Rhinolophus ferrumequinum: one gene and its partner. The main gene of each other region encodes a partner of the protein of the gene in region 2 in a complex. Links are inferred from orthologs where the notes say so. Each region holds a gene or a part of one and is shown on either strand. Other genes may lie near its edges. The genes, in order: DR1 and YEATS2.

The links.
Region 1: YEATS2 (region 2) and DR1 share a complex: the UniProt entries of both Homo sapiens proteins name them as parts of the ADA2A-containing complex. The link is inferred for Rhinolophus ferrumequinum from reciprocal best matches to the Homo sapiens genes YEATS2 and DR1.

The regions. Positions count from the first base shown.
Region 1 is NC_046292.1:70,525,248-70,537,711, forward strand, and holds the start of DR1 (protein Dr1), read left to right. Parts: upstream 1-6,790; 5' UTR 6,791-7,513; coding exon 7,514-7,733; intron 7,734-12,464. UniProt on the Homo sapiens protein: The association of the DR1/DRAP1 heterodimer with TBP results in a functional repression of both activated and basal transcription of class II genes.
Region 2 is NC_046285.1:61,255,505-61,268,105, forward strand, and holds the start of YEATS2 (YEATS domain-containing protein 2), read right to left. Parts: upstream 5,715-12,601; 5' UTR 5,512-5,714; intron 5,336-5,511; exon of another isoform or gene 5,268-5,335; intron 5,133-5,267; exon of another isoform or gene 4,936-5,132; intron 1-4,935. UniProt on the Homo sapiens protein: Chromatin reader component of the ATAC complex, a complex with histone acetyltransferase activity on histones H3 and H4. YEATS2 specifically recognizes and binds histone H3 crotonylated at 'Lys-27' (H3K27cr).

The DNA of each region.
Region 1 (12,464 bases), on a different chromosome or scaffold from region 2:
TGCCAAAAGAGTATCTCCATTGTATAAATGAAAAGACTGAAACTTATGGGCCGGCCCAGTGGCTCAGGTGGTTGGAGCATAACGGCTCTGAGAGCCTCTGTGAGCAACCTACCGATGACCGGCAACCAACTGCCACAGCCCGGGGGAGCGCAAGGCTCATAATACCAGTATGAGCTAGGGAGTTGTGTCCTACACAACTAGACTGAGAAACAACGGCTTGAACTGGAGTGGGCGGGGGAGAACTGAAACTTAGAAAAAAATAAGTACTTGTTTTTGGTGACAAGGCTAGTTACAGATGAAGAGCTAAAACAAATTAATCTTGGGTGTGGAGGCCCAGTGCCTCCACTCAGGCTCCACACTGAATGTGCAGAGACAGTGTGACATAACTACGTAGAAGGTTCATTCTGGAGACAGGTAGTACGGGTTTAAATCCTGACTCTGTCACTTAATGACAGAGTGTAGGAATAGGCAGAGAGTTATTCTAAACTCTCAGTGCTTCAGCTTCATCTATAAAACAGAAACCAGTTATTGAACAAATATTGATGAGTTCCCAGTCATTCCACCTCAGGGTCATTCTCCAATCTGTTGCATTGCCTTTGTTTAGTTTGACACAATTGATGCTGATGATTACCAAGGGCTTAGACCTCTAGAAATGAAGGCTTAAATCACCCTGGCAGGCAGCATCCTCAGTCAGCTGCCGTATTAGCTGCAAACAAGGAAACTTGGAATGGGTCGTCATATTTACCAGTTACAACCTCATTAACAGTAGCAGGAATTAAAAGTCTGCATACATATTGCGGGATGACTGAAAAATTACCCTGTTTTTTTGCTTTATGAAAACAAGAACTATAACTGTTTTCTTATTCTTTATTTCTGTAGCAACCACTGCAACCGCTGGCCCCAGCAATTATTTATAGAGTGTACTGATAGTAATTATACTTACCATTTAGTTCTTCGCTTACAAGACCACGAGGAACCACACCTAGATATGACTGTGCCATAACTGGAAGAAAAATAGGTATTTTACATCCAGAGATCAGAACTACAAGATCAATACCCCCAAGATGTTCCTTCCACTAGTTGGATGTACCTTTGGGCGTAGAAAGAGAGCAAGTGCAGGGGCTGTTGTACTAGAATGACTGGATCACATAGGTTGGCAGCATTTTTGTCATTGCACATGTGGGGAAAGGTAACTAAATAATAAAACACAACAGAAACCTCTTAGACTAGCCACACAGCTCACAGTGACAGCTCCCTCCCCAGCACAGGGGCGGAAAAGCAGCAAAGAGCCACACACATAACTTGCAGTCAGTCATGGCTGAGTGACATGGGAGTAGAAATCTGACCCAAACCACCAAACAGATTTGCTCTCCTGGGAAACTGACATTTTGAACCAAGATGCAAAGAGATGGGAATTGTTTACAACCCGCCAAGAGGGCATTTTATGGATTCCGGCTACTGAATTTCCCTGGTTATACAACAATTCCCCAAATTCTATAAGATACCCCAATATCCTTCTGGTAAAGTCAACTAGCTGGAGTTGTTAGTTGCAATCAGAAGAATCTTAACTACTACACTTCCCTGAGTAGCTTTCTCTCATGCTGCTCCTTCATGTTCCTTTCCCTCCACCCTTCACCAAAATATTGCACTTCACCATGAATGCCATGACGTTCTGTCTCACTGAGATTTTGCTGTTCTCCTACATGAAATTTCCTTCCCCTTCCTCCTGAAAACTTGCTCAAGGATTACCTCCTCTGTGACACGTAAGACTGTCACTCCATACTTAACCATTTTTATTTGGAAGGTCCTCCACTGTACCCATAGGGCCTGTCACGCCACAATCATGGCACTTAGCATACTGCACTATGGTCTCTGGTTTACTTGCCTGTCTCTCCCATTAGATGATAAGCTCCTCAATGGAAAGGGAAACTTCCCATTTAACCTTGTTTCTCTAGTTTCCTGTTACAGTGCCTGGCACACAGGAGACCCATTAAGTAAATGGGTAAATGAGTAAACAGTTTCTGCTTCATCATGAGAACATACTCAGGCTGACCTGCTGGAAGACTGTGAGAGACCATGGAAAAGAACAAAGCCCTTTCTAGGCCAGACAGCTGGTCCCAGCTGGTACTTTTCCTTTTATATTAAAGCAAAATACAACACTGTTATTAGAACTATATGAAAATACACATACACATGGGTAAGGCTGAATAGAAACATGCAAAAATTAGCATAGGTGTGTTGGAAAAGAGAGGTATTGGTGATTTTACTTTTGATTTTTTTTTTTGTTAAAGGTATTTTTAAAAAATTTAAATTAGCCTAGGTTTTAAAATATCTTATACTAACTGTAAAATATTAGCAAGTAGTGACAAATTTTATCTCTACTGTTTTATAAATATTTCCATTCTTCACATTCACAGTGGGACTCATTCAAGCAATTGCTGGATTTTAAATCTTTTGTTCGGCTAGCAAAGCTCTTAAGTTCATGATCCACAGGTGAAACCTAACTCACAGGTATTGTACCAGTCATTTATTGCTACAAAAATGCTGCCTAACAAGCCCCTCAAGGGTCAGTGGAGTAAATCAATAACCATTTATTATTTCCTAGGAGTCTGTGCATTTTCAGTTGGGCAACTCTTCTGGAATTAGCTGGGTTTACTCATTTTCTGAGTCAGCTGTGGGTTGGGTAAGTGGCTCTACTAAGTTTGGCTGAACACTCATGTTGGGACCAGCTGTCTGTCATCAGGTCTAGAAAGGGCTTTGTTCTTTTCCATTGTCTCTCACATTCTTCCAGCAAGTCAGCCTGAGTATGTTCTCATGATGAAGCAGAAACTGTTTACTCATTTACCCATTTACTTAATGGGTCTCCTGTGTGCCAGGCACTGTAACAGGGAACTAGAGAAACAAGGTTAAATGGGAAGTTTCTCTAGGTTACTTGATTTTTCCAAGTTATACGATGTACTTTTGTGTTTCTTCTTCAGCTGCACACTCTCTCCTTTTCTATCAAAATTCTACTCAATCCACAAGGCTCAGTTAAAATGTTGAGTCCTCTCTAAAGCCCTCTGTACCTCACAAGTGGTTTGTGAATTTCTCCTTCCTCTGCACACTCTTAGCTTACATGTTTATCACAGTATTTTATTTCAATCTGTTTTATACTGTGATTCTCCCAATAGGTTGTGGGGTCCTTGAATACAAGAAGGATGTTATATTTATCTTTCTCTCTCCTGTACCATACTTAGGACAGTAGACACTCAGGTGTTGAATGAATGTAGGAATCAGATGCTGTCTTCCCTTTCTACTGCCTCCAAGATATCATTTCCTTAAATGCCTACTATTGCCTCAAATCAAAACATGTCCAAAAGCAAGCACTTCTCCTCTAAAGCTCCCGTTCAATATTGCTGTTTTTGACACTACCCTAATTCCAGTTTCTGAGGCTAAAAATCTTATATTTGATTAGTCTGTTTCCTTGACTATCTAAGAGCCAAACTATCAGGTTCTTCCAACTCTTGCTGTGAAATAGTTCTTGGAATCACCTTTCTTTTCAATCCCATTATTCCATTCCTAGCAGTAATAATCATCAGTGTAATGATTATTTTTTAGCAACTACCACTATTTATTTAGCATTAAAATTCTGGCCTAAATGCTTTGCATATATTATTTCATTTGAGATTTAAAACATCTGTGAAGCATGTATTCTTATTTTATAGAGGAGAAAAATCAAGATACAGCTTAAATACCCTGCCCAAGTTAGTTAAGTGGCAGAATGGGAATCAAACCCAGATCTGAAGCCAAAGATATTGAATGAGTTGGGCTCTCTCAAGTTGTAAAGAATAAAAATGGAATTTTTAGCAGAGTATTATGAAGATGCACAGAAAGAAGCACAGAAAACTGTTTCATGGAGGCGTATTGTCTCTTTCAAAAGAGTACACCAACATTCTAGCGATCCATTTATTTTGTTGGTCTTTCTGACATAATTATTTGAAGCCTAAAACTTCTGCCCCTGCTTCTACTGCCCTTTTTACAAGTGAGTTCTCTCTCTTCTCCCTCTCTAGTTCTCAGCTTCTATTACCTCACGACTTCTGCTGCCTCATGTGTTTGGCTCTCTCTCACTAAACAAAAATGCTTTACTTCAATTAAAGTGATCTCTTTACTGTTCTCACCATTTCTGTCTACACAACTTCGTATCATTACTTTGAACACAAATACTTTTTTCCTCTTTCTCCACCTGTCAAAAGCCTGTATTTCAAGGCTCCTTCATTACTTCCTTTTAACAGTTCCAATGGATTCTTGAGTGATTACTGTGTGGTAAGTCCTCTTGCTGACTCAGGATGAACCCAGAAAATGAGCAAGAAAATAAACCTTTTGAGATTCTTGCAACATAATTTAGCCTATCCCAATTGCTATACTGACTTCAGGGAAGTTATTTAGCTTCTCCCAGCTTCACTTTCTTTATCTGTAAAATGGAGACTGAAACAGTATCTATAAGATAAGGTTGTTCTGAGGATTAAATGAAATGATAAAGGTAAAAGTACTTAGGTAAAAGTACTTAGCACAGTGCCAATCACAAAAGAAGCATGTAACACATGATATTTTTTAAATTTGTATTACCAACAACTAGCCATTGGTGTGTTAGCAATGACAAATTAGCACAAAGGATAGCATTATTTGCTTTTTTAAAATGTAAAGCTTCAAATTACAAACGTTATAGATTGTAATTTTAGCTGAAAATCCAGGCATCTATGAATTAACACATTTTAAGATAACTACTGTAGAGTTAGCCTAATTCACCATACAAAACAGCTGTTTCTTTTCATATCATGAATTTTGGAATACCATGAGAAAAATAATGTTTCATATATATGCACTAAAAGTCTTAAAGCTCATTGTTATCCTTCTTTTCAAAAGCCTATTTATAATAAGGATCTATTGTACTGTAAATAACTGTGGGATCCAGATTAGCATATTTCATGTGCCACACGATTTATATTTAGTTAAATTTTCTCTCAGCCATATTATGTATGGTTTATTAATAGTTGAAGACCGCTCAGACCTGATAAAGATAATAATAAACACCAACATCTAAATACTGCATAATGTTAAAAGCGCTTTTACATATGGTCTCATTTGACTTTGAATCCTGAGTTATAATTCCATTTCTAGTTGAAGAAAATGGGGCTTGGAGAGTGACCTGTCTAAAGTAACAAAAAACTGGGACTGGAACCTAGGTCTCTACTACACATTTCATGCTTATGCTACCACAGAACCCTGTAGTAATAAACTATTACTGGAATAACATGTGTGCTCTTCAGATGTACGTATGTATCATAAGCCTATTGTTCTACATTGTATAAACGTTACATAAAAAAGCAAAATTATTTTTTCAGGAATGACAAGATTTGGGTCAGTGACAAATGTGATAACTGGGGACATGTTTGCTAGCTTTTTTCAGTCGGATAAACTTGGTGAGGCCAAGATGAATTTAGACAGCATAGTAACTCTTGAAACCAACAGTCTTGTAAACTGACTTACATAAACACTTCATAAAGGGCCAACAACTGAGCCAACAGTTTCACATTCTTATTTTGAAGAAAATTGTCAAATACATTGTTTTATCAAAGAAGTTTTGGTTTGGCTAAACTTAATTGCATTGAAAACCCAGCGTCTGCACTTCAGAAATGAAAGAACTGGCAAGTGTGCTGGAGAAAATGCTAAATGAAAAAAAATATCTAGGGTCTTTCTTAAATAAAACGTTTTAAGAGTACATTTCAAACAAGCCAGTTGCTGTCCAATGTATCAAGAACAATGTATTTGATTAACTAAAGTGCCAAAACAGATTTAAATGGTATCTCGTTTACTTTTTAGAAATTGCAACAACCATTTATAACACAGACTCTTCTAACAAATGACAGTATGAAAAACTTAGCTTTTTAAAAAATAGTGCAATTTTTATGAAGAACTTGACACACGTTGATGTTACTAGTTACCCTGGAGAGCAAAAATCAGAGCTGCTTAAGACACTGTAACATACTCCCCCCCTCCCCCGTCTCCCCACCGCCCCCCCCCCCCGTTTCTTCAGAAGGCAACGTGCAATACACCATGAAAAATTGCTAAGTTGGAACCTCTTAATGCTACGCATTTCCACTACGTTGGATCTTATTTCTCGTTTCCGGTTTAGCCATTAGTAGTGACTGGGAGGTCATGTCACTTCTCAGCATGTTTTGTTTCTCATAAAACGAGAAACTGGGTGGAGGACCAAAAAGAGCTTTGATCCGAATAACGTCTATTAGGTATCAAAAGGTTTTCCTCCGGACTGTGCAGACACAGGAACACCGGCTTCTGATTTTCTCATATCCTATTCCCGAGCCCAGACCTCGTTCCTCTTCTAGCCCAGTTCGGGCTCCTTTAAGGAACAGCAAAGAGAGTTCTTTTAATAAAAGCCAGCATTCCTTTGTCCCTGAACATAGCTGGGAAAGGCTTTCGAAGCCTCAGCTGGTTGAGACCGTAGAGGCGATCCAACCTCGCCGGCGCACCCACCCACTCCATCCCGAGTCTGGCGCCGCAGCCCAGAGCGAGCACGTACTCGGGGTTCTCCGGTACTGTGGGGCGCGCGCTCGCCCTGCTACGGTCCCCATGAAGGAGGGGGGGGATGCCCGGGCGCGTGCCAGGACCGCGGCTGGCGGAAGCGGGGGGCCGCGGGGCCGGGAGGTTCCTGCTGGCGCGGGTGGGGGAAGGGCAATAGCCACACCCGGAACTCGGTGGGGAAGGAGGGAGGGGGGGTGAAGCTTCCGGTAGCGCAAAGGGTGTCGGGAGAAGCTTCCCACAAACCTTCTTCCCTGGCCTCTGGAGGGACCACCGTTGCCGCGGCTTCGGCTTCCACGATCAGCGTTCGGGCTAAACGACCGCGGCGGCCGCCAGTGCTGCTTCCCTTGTGTCTGGCCCTGTCCGTATTCGTTCCCAGGCGGCCGCCCAAGTTCCAGCAGCGGCCGCGGCCGACATGTTGTGAGGCAGCGGCGTGGGTGTCTGAAGGATGGTTTGGCTGAGGCGGCGGCAACGGCTGCTGGCGGCTGCGGCGGCGGCAGCTGGGGCTCCGGCTCTGTAGAGCCAAGCCCACTGGGTGTCCGCCCAGTATACCTCAGCGAGGCCAGTGTCCCTGAACCTTGCCGCTGCTCCGGCACCTTTGGGGACCGGTTGGGCGACAGCGCCCGCCCCTCTGAGGAGACACGAAGGTGTTCCCTGGTGTTCAAATTTCCTGACCACCTTTCTTTTCCTGCCCGCCCTGGGGCAGAATTCTCAGCCCCGCGACTTTCCTCCGAACCTCGCCCTAAATCTGACTGACACACGCTGTGTTCCCTGCCCTCTGGTGCCAACCCTCGCCCCCCCTTCATTTTCTGCCCCCTCTTCTCGTAGAGCCCCCGGGATCACTCTCCGAGGGCGGCCTTTTGAAAAATCTTTGTGGAGTAGTGGACCAGAACTGGGGAGTTCTTAAAAGTCGGGGCGAGAGACATAGGAAGATACGATGGCTTCCTCATCTGGCAACGATGATGATCTCACTATACCCAGAGCTGCTATCAATAAGATGATCAAAGAGACTCTCCCCAATGTCCGGGTGGCCAACGATGCCCGGGAGCTGGTGGTGAACTGCTGTACTGAATTCATTCACCTTATATCTTCTGAAGCCAATGAGATTTGCAACAAATCTGAAAAGAAGACCATCTCGCCAGAGCATGTCATACAAGGTAAGTGTTACGTGTGGGATTTTGTTTAAGTGAAGGTCCGGGGACAGCCTGCTAGTCGCGTGACTCATTCATGTCAAAGCCTTCATTCCTCTCCTCTGATCAGTACTGGAAAATGAAAAAGCCACGCGGGCATGGAGGCAGCGGGTGCCTTCAACAAATTCCTATGTAGTATGCTCGTGGTACTTTTCACCAGCCAATACAAGTAAGGATTGCGAGCATTTAGGTCAGCTAACATCCCCCAAAGGTAAAGTATTAGCAGTCGTTTCAATTTACAGCCAGGTAAGCCGAAGCAACAAGGATTTTGCCTGCCTAAAGAGGAACCTATACATGACAACTGAGAAATTGAAACGTAGATCAGAACATCTGAGAAAGGAATCCAAAAGTACTCCCTTGGAAAATTAAAATTCAGACAGGAAATTCAAGTATGAACAGAGACAGCACCCCTTCCGCACCCGATCTCTTCACCAATGTAGAGAACAAGATGAGTTTTCTGACCACCTGAGTAAAAAAAAAACTTTAACAGGAGTGTGTTCAACGTTTTCAAGTTTGTTGGTGTTGAGTAGAGTCTATTTTCTGCGTTAAAAATGGTTTAATGGTCCAACCGTTCATCCACAAGTTACCAAAGCACTCCAGTTCTATTCTGTAAGAAAAGGGTGAATGTCCTTTTCTTTTCCCCTCTCTCCCATCCTTCTTTCTCTTTTTCTTCTGTGTAGCTCCCTTTGTTCTATGGAGATAAATTTTTAAAGCCTGGTTTAAGAGATTGTAAGAGGTGTTTTTCATGGAACATTTCCCTGTTCTTTCCTGCCCCCATTCCCATTTAGATGTTCACACTCAAGCTTTTATTGAACAGCACTTCTGAAAGTTGCAACAGTTTTTTTCTATCTTTGGAAAGGATTTAGTTCAGTAATAGGGATTTGGGAGACCGTATTCTGATGGTGTGTTTCAAGGATGGGGAGACATATTTACTAGTCACAATATTTCGGGAAGCACATACACCATTATGAAAAAATTGCACTCAATTTGAGGTTATAACTTGCCTTTTATAATAATCCAATTAAAAATCTATCAATTTCTTGATTGCTTTTGAAGTCAGAAAAAAATCATGGTTAATTTTAATCATTTGAGTAGGCTGGTGGTTGTCTACCATTTGATTTTTATAACTTAACTTTTTAAAAGCTGACTTTCCTGTTATTCTGAAGTAGAGAATACATCTGCTCATATTCACCATATCCAATATTTTACTGTCAATATTGACGGAAGGATTAAATGATTCATTTTTGATCTTGAATGATGTGTGGAAGGCAGATATAAATTATACTCTGCCATTTCCATTTCAGTACATAAGGAAAAAAATAAGCCCCTAGGAAAAAGCATGTTTAATTTTAAAGCTACCATTTTTTTCTACTTGTTTGGTATGCTGCATACCCTGGCAAGTAAAATGAAAGCCAAGTTGTCTATTTTTCCTGTGGTGTTTTTTTATTTTCACGTTATATGTTCAATTGTTGTCATAAGTCTTTCTCAAGATTATCCAACACAGATAGCTATAATTTCCTTTTACAACTCATAAAAAAGAAAAAGGATCTTTTATCAACATTGCCTTTTACTGCAAATTGCAAAAGATTTCTAAAGGATCTGCCTAAACATTTGTTTACACCACAGAAGTGGGTATCATTCCAAAAATCTAATAACACATACAATCTGTCTTCTTGGGTAGAGTTTATTCTTTTCTAGGATATATTTAGATTTCTGATTGACATGATGGAATAAAAGTGCAGCTGTAGCAAGCAGTATGCTAAATGCCTCAACTTTGGAATATGCTAAATTCAGTTTAACAACTAGGAAAGTTCCAGTGAAAGCATTTTCCTTTGTGTACTAAGTATGATTTATTAATTTTAAAAAATCATGTATTGACCTGTTATAGTCTAATAAATTTACCTTTTTTTCTTGTAGTATTGATATTAAGTGGATGAAGACCTACCATTTTTGCCCCAAATTTTCCCGTTAGGGGAATAGATTTTATGCATACACATAATCTCATATTACTCTCATATTGCTTAATTATTTTAAAGATTTTTTTTTGTCTTGAGTGGTTAAAAATTTTTTAAAGAAATTTTTCATGTCTGTATATTTTAGGTGTTTAAAGTGTTTTTACAGACTAACTCTGGAAAGCTAGTAAATCATGGTAGATATGACATTTTTTACACTTCCTGTCAGCATTGATTATTTACCTGTTTCCCCGAAAACAAGACCTAGCTGGATCATCAGCTCTCATGCGTCATTTGGAGGAAAAAATTAATATAAGACCTAGTATTATATTATATTAATTTTATTATATTATTGTACTATATTATATTTATTATAGACCCAGTCTTATGTTAAAATAAGACCGGGTCTTATATTAATTTTTACTCCAAAAGACACATTAGAGCTGATGGCCTGGCTAGTTCTTATTTTCAGGGAAACACGGTAGGAATGTAGGATATATCCAAGTGGAATAATAATGTATATTTTAAAGTGATATGAGTCTCACTTGTTGAAGTTTGCAGTTTTAAGTAGTAAGTTTAATGAACTAGATTTCGCTTTAGGACATTTGTTCACTTGCCACTTTACCTCATCAGAGCAAAGTAAGCATTTGAAGCAGTTCTGTAAAATTCAAATTACAGTTGAAGTAATTTCATTGCCATTAAATCTGTGAAATACTATGACTTAGATTTAAAAAATTTTTTTTCTTAATGTCTTGCTTATTTTGAGTTTAAGAAAGTAGACTTGGTATTGAAGATCACAAATACACAAATAGAGGGGTTTCTAAAGTGTTCTTTTTATTCCATTGCTGGTTTCTGTGAACACATATTCTTCAATGAGTTCTAACATGTTCTGTTACATTATGGAAAGAATTGACATTGAGAGTCAAGAGCTGCAAGTTCTACTCTGGAAAGTCTTTCACCTTAGGTAAATCTGTTAAATGTTTCCCCATTTGTGTATAAATAATACTTAATGGTTTCAGGTATAACTTGCAATTATTGAGAATCAGTCAGAGTTGAGAACCTTACATGAAATAATGCTGTAGTAAATAATAATTTAAAAAAATTTTACAGTAGTACTGATTAAAACATAAAGCTGACAGTCTGTTATGTTTAACCTTATGTCATGATGCCTTTTGTAAAGCTAAAGTATAAATAATAATATTTTAAGTGATACTTTCTTTCTGCATTTTTAATCTCTTGCTTCATTTTTTTTTTCACATTTATGAGAATAGTAACTGAAAGTAGTGAAAGTTTTAAGAAGTCTTCTGAGGATTTGCTTCAGCAATTGAATTGCTCCAAGCTATTTATGTTGAGTGCCTTTTTAAAAATTCTAGTCCCTCTCACACTAGTACTTTTGTAAAATACAGTGAAAATGGATCACTAGGAAAACAAGAAGAGAAGATACAAATAAAAGTTCAATTTTTGTTATTAGATTCAATAGACATAAAATTACTCTTTCAAATTGCCATGAAATTTCTTTTTCCCCCCAACTTTGAGATGTAATTGATATATAACATTGTATAAGTTTAAGTTGTACAATGTAATGATTTAATGTATGTATATATCCTGAAATGATTACCACAATAAGGTTAGTTAACACCTCATGTAGTTACTGTTTTGCTATGAAGGTTCTTAAATGGGTACTTTGAATTTCCATATTTAACTCATCACAGACCATTACAAGCAATTCTGGCACAAGTCTATGGACCATACTTTGAGTAGTTTTGCTCTAAAGCCTAAACCACCGTCTATTTTGGAAAGTGGATGTGAAGTAGTTTTGAAATCAGAGGATCTTAGTGATTTCAGAGAAATTGTAATAATAATGAGAATGAGAATGATATTGTATTGCCTAAATAATCATCCATACTGATATTTTTCCCAAAGAGATATATAATGTGCATTGCACAATTTATCACGTAATCAATGCTTTTCAAGTTAGGATTTTATTATTTTCCTTAAAATTGAGATTTTTTTTGTTTTTCTTTTGCCACCCAACAATTACTTTTGAATACTGCTATGTTCTTATGTTCTTGGCGTTGTGCTGGATACTGCCAAGGATATAAAGATGAATGATACTTGATTCCTGTTCTGCTGTCAGTCTCTCATTGTCCCAGATTGCCGGAAGTAGTGATACCATAGAAAATATGGTTCTTAAGGGTCTTCATTCAGATACCTTGCCAGGTTGATGAGCCAAGAAATTACTTTGGCTGACATCCTCTTAATGGATTTTAAGTGAACTACACCACCCCCCCTTCCCTCAACAAACAAACAAAAGAATATAAAGAAATTAGAGAGTGCTGTTCCATATATATATATATATATATATATATATATATATATATATATGATATATACAGAGGTTGCCAAAAGATAGATAGATCGATATATATATACACACACACATTTTTAAGAAAAGAAAAAACTAAATATTGAGTATTAAAATTGTAATACTCAACATACTTGTATACCAATTACAAAAGATGAATACAAGTCATGTTTGACTCCTGCAATTACAAGAGGAGGAGCTCAAAGTGGTTGCCATCAGTGTAATTTTAATACAGTTTTTTCCTTTCTTAAAATGTGTATACATTTTTTTGGCACCCTTGGGGTGTGTGTGTGTGTGTGTGTGTGCGCGCGCGCGCGCGTGCTTTTTAATAAAAAACATGTATTATGTATATGAAGTGTAAAGAATTCAAGCAAACTGTTG
Region 2 (12,601 bases):
GGTCAAGTGGTAAAGGAGGGTAATCTAAAATCAACACCAGACGTGGATGGGTGTGGCGCATAACACAGCAGTAAACTGAGGTTGCTGGGGGATGTTTGAGGTGTAGCCTGTGTGCGGCTTGGCTTGTGTATCCCTTCCATGGTTCAGTTCAGCAGGGTACAGTTTCCTGTATCCATAGTTTCTTGCAGACGAAATCACGTGTAAGCAAATGTGAACTTCATATTATACGCAAATAGTTCCCTAATATATCAAATGCATTGGAACAAGTTTGTGTTTTCCTATAGCAAAACTGATTGGCTGTAATGCAACCACTGTACGGCTGTAATGCAACCATTAAAAAGAAATGTGCCGATATAGAAATACCTCTAAAATAAATTGTCAAGTGAGAAAAAACCCAAGGTGCAGAACAGTGTGTATACTTTGATTCCTTCTTTTGTAAACGAGAGGAAAAAGAGACAAAAGAAATGCTTGGTATGTGCTTAAGTTTTTCTAGAAGATAAATAAGAAAAAAACAACAATAACTGCCTCTGGGTAATGGTTCTGCCTTTTTTTTTTTCAGTATGTGACTTTGATTGCATCTTTAAAATATCACAAAAGAGTCTGAGGAATCATTTGACACCTTGGTGTTTCTGTAGCTGGATAGCTTAGATCTTAGTCATCAGCCTGCTGAACTATTCCTTTTTCAGAAACAGGTATCATCCAAAATTATTGATATCCTTGCTTTTAACTGCTATGGCTTGTTGAATCAAAGAAGCTGAATTTGATACAAGTTCAATATCGTTTCCTTCAAGAATTAACTCAACTTTCTGGGTTTGAGATACTGAACAAGCAACACATGACCTTATTTGAACCATGCAGATGTACTTTTCACCCAAGAAATTTCGGATTTCAACAGAACCATTCTCCTGAATAACGACATTGATGGAGAAGTGAGCACACGCAGACCGCATCTTGTATTGGAAGCCCAATGTAACCCTCGATCGTGTTCTGCACGTGACAGGTAGTGTGAACAGGAGTCAGTTCCTTCCTATGTCCCCACCATTGTCACCGGAGCCTCTTCTTTTCTTTCCAGGGAGACTGAGTTCTACGTGGATATGATCGAAGTCCCTCCACAGGGTGCCTCTGGGGCCCTTCACAGTAACTGTGGTCCCTTCAGAGTGACGGCCACGTTTTCTGGGACGTCCAGTCTGACTGCTGAGAATGGTCTGCATCCTCACAGTAGATGCAGCGAAGAGTCTGCCTTTCATTTTTCTTCCTGACTATGACGTTTGATTTATTTTACCATGTACATGAATTATTTTGAGGAAAATGCCAAAAGGACTAATCTGGAAGACAGATTACAGGTGTCTTTACGTCTCTGTTCTCTTCTTACTTCTCTATATGTTACAAAGAACACAATTACGGAGAGTGTGGAATAACTGGAACTCTCATGCACTACTGGTTGGAACGTAAAATGGGATAATCATTTTGGAAAACAGTTTGGCAGTTTTTTTTAAGACCTTAGACATACCCTATCATATGACCTAGCCATTCCAATCCTAGGTATTTACCCAAGAGAAATGGGTAAACAATATTCTATTGTATGGATATATCACAATTTATCTATTGACCTATTAATGGACATTTAGATTGTTTACAAAAGCATTTGTCTATACAAAACTTGTACATAAATGTTCACAAACAGGCAAATCCACAGACACAAAAAGTAGTTGCCAGGGGTGAGGGGAGGGCGGCAGCAACTGAGACTGATAACTGCTAATAGATATGGGGTCTCTTTCTAGGGTGATGGAAAAGTTGCGCAATTAGATAGTAATGATGGCTGCACAACCTCTGAATATACTAAAACCCACCAAATTATACCCAATAAAATGGTGAATTCTACAGTATATGAATTGTATCTCAATAGAAGTACATGTATACTCTAAAATAAACTAATTTTTCCAAATAGATAAAAATCACCAATGTCTCCGTAACTCTGGCTCACTCTTCAGATAAACAGAATAAACAATCCTTGCCTAGGAAAACTAGTTCTACTTCTCTTCGTCTGCAGTCATCAAAGCTCACATGCCTGAACACCTCATGTTTACCTTCCAATGGGTTCATATTTCACCTCTACTTTCTCTCCACTTAGTAAAATGCTCTTCATCCTTAAAGAATCAAATTAAATTCCAACTCATCCATGAAGTGCACTCCGGCCTTCAAAAACTCTTTTTTCTAACCCCCACAGAACTGATGATACAGAAACAATCTGCTTCACAAGTCTTGTCTTCTACGAGGAAAAAGTGCATCATCCCTCACCCTCCACTTGGCAGCTGTGTAGAAAACAGAACGAAAGGTTTAAAGGCAGGGAGATGGGGGACAATTTAAGGAAGTGACAATGAAGATTCAAATAAAAATCTCTGGTCGAATGAGGTCAAGTATTTCCAAGAATGAGATCAAGTATTTCTGAGAATCTACGCGTATCCTACGGAAATACTCTCGAGGCAGGGTGATGGACACACACGTGGGCTATATTCACAGATCTACAACTTAAGTGTTACATTTTATACATTTTATAATAAGAAACTGGCAACAGTCCATAGCAAATTATAGTGCATCCACTGACTACGAAGGCACTTTATTATGTGAGGACATGATCTTGCATGTAGAGAAAACCCTAAACATTCCACAAAAAAATTGTTAGAACTAATAAGTGAATTCAGCAAAGTAGCAGAATACAAAGTCAAATGAACAATATCAAAAGGAAATCACAGAAATAATTTCATTTATAATAGCATCAGAAAGAATGAAATACTTAGGGATTAACTTAACCAAGGAGGTAAAAGATTAGTACAATGAAAACTACTAAACACTGCTGAAAGAAATTAAAGACTTAAATAAATGGAAACACAACTCATGTTCATGGATTAGAAAATTTAATATTGTTAAAATGTCAATACTACCCATAGCCATCCACTGATTCAGTACAATCCCTATCAAAATCCCAATGACATTTTCTGCAAAAATAGAAAACCTATCCTAAAATTCATATAGAACAGTGGCTGCCAGGGGCTGGGGGGAAAGAAGGGAATAGGGAATTATTGTTTAATGGGTGCAGAGTTTAGTTTTACATGATGAAAAATGTTATAGACATGAATGGTGGTGATGGTTGCACAATGTTACGAATGTATTTAATACACTTAAAAATGATTAAGGTGGTAAATTTCATGTTATGTGTATTTCACCACAATCTAAAAAAAAGTATACATAAGAGTTAAATGATAAGTACATTTTTTTCCATTATCGACCACATCCTTCCTGATGGAGCACATGTAATAAGTGCATTTATTCGGGGGTAGGGGGAGGTGACATAAGGGAGGAAATTCTGCAAACACTATGTCAAGCTACATATTTTTAAAACCTAAAGAGCTCTTAACAATAAATTAGAAAATGACCAACAAAAAGATGCAAAGGACAGGAACAGAAATTCACAAATGGCCGATAAATGTGGAAAAATCTTCAACCATATTAGTAATCAAGGAATGGAAAAATTAAACAAGACACCATTTTTTATCTATCAAATTTAGTTTGGGGGCAGATGAAATAGGTGTCTTGAAGGCGGTCTTTTTTCTAATTCACACTCACTGTCTTCATTTCCTCAATCCCGTTCAATTATTCCAATGTGGTTTCCACTTTAGACCTCTGGATAGTTAAGTACTACCAATGACCAAAACCAGCAACCTCCATGATTTCAAATCCAACTGAGCATCTTACTAAACATCTTAGAAACACTGATAAGAGGACCAACTCTCCATCTTCCAGACACTTACCTCTCTTGGCTTCCGTGACACCAGTCTCCTGCTTTTCCCCCTAACTCACTCTTTCTTTCTGTCCTATGCTCAATCTTCCTCTACCAGACCTCAAAGTATTGGAGTGCCTGAGACTTGATTTTCACTTATTTATACTCTTCCCCTGTGTGATATCATATAGTTTCATAAATGGGAATATCATCCATATAACTGAGTACATACTCCCAAATTTTTATCTCCAGCTCTAGTCTCTCTTCTGTGAGTTCCAAACCTGTACATCCAACTGCCTCGTCAACATAACAACTTCAAAACTAATATGCGCCTCAAATTTAATACATCCAAAACAAAACTAATGATTTTTCCCACCTTGAAGTTCTCTCTTCCATTCTTCTCAGTAAATGCCATCGTCTACTCACAGTTGCTCAAAAACAAATACTGAAAAGCAAAGACTTCTTCCTTTCCCTAACCAATCCATTTATTCCAAGTCTTGTTCATTCTTCCTCAAAAATGTTTTTTAATCTTTCCATTGCCATGGACCTAGTTCAAGATACTGCAAACAGCATCCTAACTGGTCTCCCAGTTTCCACTTTTGCCCTCTTCTGTCAGATTATGCTCCTTACCTATTAATACTCAAAATCTTCAAAGGATTCCCATAGAAACCAGATTCCTAACCAGGGCATCATCTGCTCCTATCTTTGAAAGAATATACACAGCCAAAAATATACACTCAATGATAGTATCTGTAGACAGGAAAACTATGGGTACTTTTTCTCGTTTTGCTTGTCTGTAGTTTTAAATTTTCCCATGATGAATACTTGCTACTTGGTTGTTAAGAAAGAGGAAATGATATTGCTGAACACTATTTGTTACATCGCATTTTTACATGCTAAGGAGAAAAGGGAATGGAAAATTGTAGGTAATCTCTAACTGTAACTGTTACAAGCTTAGATGAAACTACTAGCAAACATATCGACTCTAAACATGATGTGCCAAGGCTGTAGGATTACTGGTGATATTTTCCTTCTCTACTTTCTATTTTTGAATGTAAGTACATTCGTAACAGAAAACAAATATTATGATATAAACCTCATTGTCTTCTGCAATCTGGCCACAACCCACCAAACCAGCCTTTCTTCCAAGTACTCACTGTCCCATGCTTTCCACTCCAACCCCGCACTGTCTCACACCTCCGCTGCTTTAACTTGGGCACCATCCCTGGAATATCCTCCGACGTTTCTAAATCCTACTCATCCTTCACGCGGGAGGAGGACGGCTAGGATGGCGACAGGTTGGAGGGAGATTCCAGGATTCTTGTTGGTAAATCCACAACTTGCTGGTCCTGGGGCCAAATCTCACCACTAATCCCATCACAGGCCACCAAGCTTATCATCCTGAAACCTCCGGCCACTGGAGCTCAAGGAACCCCCATCCCTCAAAAAGCGCTGCGCCCCTTAGAAAAGGAGTCCCCCCTAGACATACCCAAATTCCGGGTTCCCCCTTCGGACACTTCCCGGACATACACACTCAGCCTGGATCCAGCCTCCCCCCCAGATCCTCTCCCCTCCGCAGTCATCCGCCCCTCCCTCCGCTCCGCAACCCGGGCCGCGCGGCCGGAGGGGTGGGGGAGGGGCGCGCACGTGCCCGCGCCGCCCCCGCCCAGACAAAGCCCGGGAGAGCGGAGCGCGCACCCGGCCGGTCCCATCCAGCTCCCGCCAACACTCACCCTTTCCCTGGTCTCCGGCTGAAGCGCAGGCCGCGCAGGGGGAGAGCACCGCGGAGGGGAGGGAGCGGGCGAAGCCCTGCAGAGCAGCCCCACCACGAAGCTCCAGCGACCCCGGAGCCCGCGGAAGCACACAGCTCAGTGCAGCCCGCTCGGCCCTGCACGTCACCACTAGGGGCGGGACGGGGTGCGCGCAGCGGTGGCGGCGGCGCGCGGGCGCGCGACCCGGGGGCGGAGCTCGCAGAAATGTGGGCGGGAGCGGGCGGGAGGGGCGGAGAGGGGGGCTGGCCCTGGCCCACGTTCTGACCCTGGCCGGCGCTGCCGCTCCTCGTGGGGTGTCTGGGGATCGGTTCTGGCAGAGTCACTGTCATTTATCCTTTTCCTCCCTAGAAGGAAATGACGCAGCCCAATCCCAAGTTTGACAGAATATTCTGCCGGCATTTGTGAAGCTTTTACAGTACAGTAATAACAGCAGTAGCTATGATTTTTGTGTCATCTCGTACCAAGCTTTGTGCCTAAGTAGTAGAGACACAGATAACTATAGGTATTGCCAACCTACTTTACAGATGCAGAAACTGAGGCTCAGAAAGGTTGGAACTTACCTATGTCACACAACTAGTCAGTGACAATCCATCAAGTCCAGGTTTCCTCTTAAATATCTTAAGTCCACACTTTCCTTTCCCTCTCCTGTACCACCCTGCCCCAGACCCCTTCATCTCTCTTCCCAAGACTACTCTGGTCTCCCAGCTGGTCTCCAGGGATCTGATTCTGTCCCCCTTCAATCTGTTCTCCTGTGTAAAGATTTTACCTTTGGAGCTGGGTGGTAGGTTTAGAGGGGGTACACTTTGTAATTGTTTTATACTTTACATATATGTTATTAAGTTTTTCGATGTATATAATGTTTACTAAAAATATTTTAAGGGATTTACTCCTTTATCTCCAATAGCAAGCCCAGTGCATTGCACATAGCATGAGCTCAAAAAGTATTTGTTGAATGAATGAATAGTACGGCCAGGAACTGACTCCAAAACCCTGCAATATAAGGGAATAGAATATAATATGTCACCCCAGCCTTCTGACCTTAACGTCTACTCCTGACCTTAAGGGTAAATGAGATTGATAATATTTGTTCAGCAAATTTTTGCTGCATTTCTATTCTGTGTTTTGGCACTGTGTCAAGACTGCGTCAGGCACTGAAAATCAGAAATGAACAAAACAGTTCATTTTAGTCAATCTAATGTGAAAGTCTAGGAAAGGCCTCCTTGAGCCTTAGGCTAAGACCCAAAGAGAAAATAGGAATTGGGAGATAACAATACTTTTACTGGAGAAAGACGTAGGGTAAGAGGTCAGCAGGAGTGTGTCAGTGTTCCTCTACTTTGGGGTCTAACCCTGAGGCAGGGGCATAGAAGTATCCAGCTAAGTGGGGGGGGGGGAAGAGGGGGAGGAGGGAGTGTTAGAAGCCCACTTCCTTTGGCCTAGCTTGAAAGGCTGCCCATTTCTGGCAGAAGGTTCCCATTGAGCAGGACTTGGGAACAGAGAGCAGCACTGGGAAGAGAGAGGAGTCAAAAAATGCGGCATGGTGTCCACAATTTGCACCTGGTGTGCCAGAAAACCAGCCTTCTCTGCATGCTCCCTGCCAGACAAATAGACAGAGCCATGGACAGGCCAATGGGCGCTGTGCCAGGTACCAGGTGATGACCAGAGGCAGTGGAGGGAGGACTCATTGGCAGGGAATGGCTGGAGAATGGAGCTAAGACCCCAAGGATAGAACGAGCTGAAGTGCTCCCAAGTCAGCTGGGGAGAGGAGAAGGGATGGAGGTGTGGGAGCGGGGAAGGTGAGACATTAGATTCTCAAAGTGCCGTAGCAACAGATGATGAGCTTGCCAGCCAGCAACCTCAGCAGCTGATGCCAGCAGGGCCATAGTGACCAGGCGTGACCAGGGAGGCCAGTGAGGACCCAGGCTACAGCTCACAGTTCTGTACCCCTCCTGCCACTGCCTTGGAGCTTCCCTTGGATCCCACAGGCCATCTTGGGAAGTCAAGAGGGGAGAGGTGAAAGTTCTGACAGGACTGCAACTGTGCATTGACGAAATAGTTACCCTAAATGAGACTGTTTAAGATCAATTAACTGTTTTTTCTCTCTTGGAAATTTTATCCGTTCTGGGGACAGGGAAGCAGGCAGCCCCTGCCTCCTGCTGAGGGTGTCACAAGCCCTCCCTGTCTTCCTTGCCATTGATGGGGAGGTTCCCATGTTCGAAGGAAGCCAGGAAGGCCTTGAGCTTGAGCGGGGTACGGAGGGTGCCATGTAGGTGGAGAGCGAGGGGAAAGAATCCAAGCAACGGGGGCCAGGACCTGGTGATTCAGCAGCAAGTCGAGCAGGTTGTAGTCTGCAAAGGAGACCTGGTTGCCCATGATGAAGGCCTGGTCCCCCTGGTTCGAGGACAACAGGGTCTCAAAAGACTTCAGGCGCGGGGACAGTTCCTTCACATAGTCCTTGTTGCCCGCTTCATAGTTGGTATAGATGAGGGTGACGTACTTGGAGCGGAGGTCCTCCATGCTGTCATTCACCATGTCCATCAGGGCCACCTCCCGCTGGTCCTTCCCATAGAATCCGAGGGAGACGCTCAGGTGGCTCAGGATGGCATTGGATTGGTACAGGGTGAACTTGGGGAGCTGCCCATACAGACAGGAGGCCTTGAGAGGGCTCCACGGACAGTTCTCCTCAGTCACCAGGTCCTTCTTCCAGCTCTGACCCTGCTCAGACAGCAGCATGCGCCTGGCCTTGCAGCGCCCTTAAACAGGGAAGTAGACAATGGTGTAGGGCCTCTTGGTTGCCGCGTAGACAAAAGTGCTGGCGGCGCTCAAGACCAGATAACTTTCCTTGGCAAGTTTAAGTTTAGCCCAATCCCCAAAGTTGTAGTGATTAGAGCCCATGAGAAATAACATAGCTACCGATTTTTACACATATGCATGCAGTGTTGTACATTTCAACAACAGATAAGCTCTGTGAAGGAAACGGACGGTGCTCAGAAAGCACAGCACAGAGGGACCAAATTTCGTGTGAAGGTAGAAAAGGACTCCCTGAAAAAAATACGAAACGAAACCTGAAGGCAGTAGGAGCTGTTGAGTCACCATAAAGCCTGAGACCAGGTGAGAAGTCCACGGAAACTTAAGCAAGAGCAGAGGGGCTGGGGATGGGGCTGACTTAGGCAGGAGCAAGATCACGCAGGAGGGAAGAGTTTGATCTTTATGGTAAGAACGACAGGAGGCCTTCAAGGGTTTCAAGCCAGAGAGTTAATGTATTCAACTTGCCCTTTAGAAAAAGATCACTTACCCTGGCAAATGGGTGGGGAATGACTGGGAAGGTGTGTGAACAAAGTAGCAGCCAGACAGTTGCAAAGCAATTTGAGTGGCAAAGGTGAATAATGAAGGTGGTTTACACGGGACAGTGGAAATGAAGGGAAATGGATACATTCAATAGTTGCGGAGAAAATGCTGAGAGACTTGGTAATGAACGGGGAGGAGACCAGGGAGGAAAGGAAAGGAGACTGGCCCTGCTAAGTCAAGTGGCACATGAGGAAAAGCCTCCCCATCCTTCAAGCAGACAAAGACCTGTGCTGGGGCACACAGCTCGGCGAGTGGCAGGACGTTGGATTGCAGGCCCCTCCTTGGCCAGGCCTCCTCAGGCATTGTTCACCTGTACAGTCACTAGAGGTGGGGTGTGGGGGTGGGTTGGGGAGTGGAGCAGAGTGGGGGATGGGGTGCGGTGGGGGTGGGGTGGGTGTTAAATGTACAGTGTTAATGAAAGGAAAAGCAACTCATATTAAAGTTAGTCAGGAAGTTTCCAGTAGTGTTGACACTGGCCCAGGAAAAGGAGCCAGTAGTTTGGGGGGTGGTGGTGGGGGAGAACCTATGCTGGCAACTGCTGGCAAACAGCTTCTTGCAGCAGAGAAACAAGGAAAGCCTGAGAAAGGTGGGGAACCCGAAGCTCTGCCTGAGAGGGGGAGGGGAAGCTGGCTCAGATGGAAAACTGTAGTTAAACTGACCAAGCGTTCCCAGGCCCCAGGTATCCCGGACATCCCCCTGGGAAGACCAACCACCCTTCCTAAGATTAACAGGAGTGGGAACTCTGGAGCCCTTAATGTAATGAGGTTCCCCTACCAGGGTGCAGATACTAATTATACATGTAAAATGAGGACCTCACTTATTTACAGCTCCAAGCAAACCATTAATGTAATTAGTGTCTGGGAATTACACTTAGGCAGTTAGAAATAAATCGTTGTCTCCAACTAGGTCCAAACAAGAAGCCAAATGTCTGTTTGTCCTATTCGGATTTTGGCAAAACCAAATTCCACTCTTGCAGATCCTATTGGATCCTACCCTAACCCAAAAGAAGCCATGTATTGTGCTTCTCTGTGTGGATTGCACAGTCACTGTAGAATTACAGTCTTTGGGAATGAGGGTGATGATGCAAGACGTGTTTTCATTCATGGAAAAAAAAGGAGGGGTAGGTGGAATTTGCCCTGAAAGGAAACATTCTATGGCTGGAACTGGTTGGACTCTCTCTTTGTTTTGTATAAAAACGAGGCCTCTAGATACGGAGAACTTGGACCTCTCGTACATTGCTGATGGGAATGTAAAAGCATGTAGCCGCTGTGGCAAACAGCTTGGCAGTTCCTCAAAATGTTAAACACAGAGGTACCACATGACCTAGCAGTTACGCTCCTAGGCAAATACCTCAGAGAAATGAAAGCATATGTCCACACAAAATTTATATAAGAATGTTCATAGCAGAAGCACGTCCCTCAATAAAGTTGTTAAAAATAAAAAGAGAGGCTTCTGGACAGATGCTAAAAATGTCTGAAAATTACTTGTAAAGGTAAGGTAAAGTAAATATAAAATTTCAGCTATAATATGGTGCTGGTGGAATTTGGGCAATGTGAAGAGGAGAATGTATAAAAATAGTTCCACTTAAACTTCCAACTCAAATTTTTAAAGACTGAAGAATTTTGATTTTAATTTGGTTACATATCCTTATATACATTATCAGCTTTTAGGTGCCCAGTTAACACAATACTGGGATATTTTCATTTATTGCTTGTTGTTTGTAAATTAGACTTCCACACTACAGCTCTCTGTTATAAAAGATAAATAATGACACTAGTGCTGAGTGTATTTATAATAGACAGAATTTTTAATATCCTTTCGTTTCCTTGGTGGCATTTACGGTATTATCTTCTGCTAGCTTTTATTGTGATCTCCTGGCTTCAGATTTAAAGCCCCATTTGTTTGAGAACTGCCTCCAAATGCTCTTAGTCAACATTTACAGTCCTGACAGTAAATAGCCTTCATTCCCCAATAAAATAGGCTCCTGGTGGCCTAAACAGCCAAAACAAATAATGTTGCATTTTTCAGGTTTCAAAAATCAAGTAATGTCCAGAGTGCTAGTATTCTGTTGACCCTGATGTTAGAAATCGTATTCGGCCTTCATAATGGGGCACTGAATGGCAGATTTGGGGACGTTGCCCCTGTAATCAATTCTCAGATTCCTTCAATGCAAGTGAACAGGGGATTTTTAGTTGGGAGGGATGAGCAATCTTCTATAAATTGACCTTGGCAGTGAAACATACCACGTGTGTAATAACTTTTAATCTACAAACTCATACTTTGTATGACAATTATGTGTCACCTTCTATGCTTGTAAAATGCCTTGTTCATATGTTCAGAGTAAATCTATCCAGGTTTGGTGTTTCCCAGCTGAGCAGCAATAATGTCAGAACAGCCATAAATGTGCCTGGAACAGAATTATTTACATTATAAAAGGAACAATAGAGGGGAAATGGGCAGAGAATTTTCCCTGCTGCTTTATTTTCTATTCATGGTAGGTAAGACCAAGTAGAGAATTTGAGTACTCAGAGTTTGTGTATAGAATGAATTTGGTTCCTGATGGCCCCAAATGCAGGAAGTCTGTTTTAAAGTCAAAAACAAATCATAATATTGGATGTGATACATGGGAAAGCTTTTTTTGACCCTTAATTGTATTATGCTTATACTATGTTTGTACTATGTTGACCTTAATATTTTGTATAAAAGATTTATTCATGCAACACCATGGGATTAAGAAGCTACACCTCTCCTCTCCTTTTATCACCCCATCTCTCCTCTTCTTATAACTCTCTCCTTTTAGACGTGGCATACATAGCAGTTTGGCAGACTTCACATCCATTCTTTTTTTTTCCCCCTTCCCCCCCCACTCTGAGTCAAGCCATTATTGTTCTCAGTCAGGTTGTGGAGGACGCAGCTCGCTGGCCCATGTGGGAATCGAACTGGTGGCCTCGGTGTTAGGTGCACAGTACTCCAACCACCTGAGCCACCTGGCTGCCCCTTCATAACCATTCTTAACGCTTCCTTCTTTGTCTTCTTCTATTAAAACTGGGAAGTTGAACACTCAATTTCCTGCCCTCTCTTGCAGCCAGGAATGACCAGGTAACCTACTTCTAGCCAAGAAGATGAAATCACGGTTCAACGAATACAAAGAGAGGCTCCCAAAGAAAGTGGAGAGTTGTAGCTAGTCCTGCCTTTGCCCCTCTGTCTCCTTATTCCTACCCTGAATTTGGATGTGCTGCCTGAAGGTACAGCAGGCATCCTTCAACCATGAGACTATAAGCCAACACATTAAAAATGGTGGGGCAGAAAGAAGGCAAGAGCCTGGGCGTTGAATGACACTGTTGAGCCTTTGTATCAGGCCTGGACTGCCAACTTGTTATGTAAGACAAGTATCACTTATGTATTTAAACAACTTGTGTCCAGGCTGTCTGTGGTTTGCAGAAAGCATGTTCCTGTATGACACCCGAGATTTCTTCAGTATGTTTCTTTCCTTGTTCCCCTAACGTCTCTGATACCGTAGTTCTTTCTCAACCTCTATCACAGGCTCCTCTTTCTCTGCCTATGCCTAAATACTGAAGTGTCTATGTCCTCTGTCCTTGGTCTGTTCTCATTTCTTGAACAATTTTCTCTATGTTCACAGCTTCAACTGCCCCTTACGTACCAATGAGGTCTAAATCTAGACCACTGAATTTGGGCTTCCATCCTG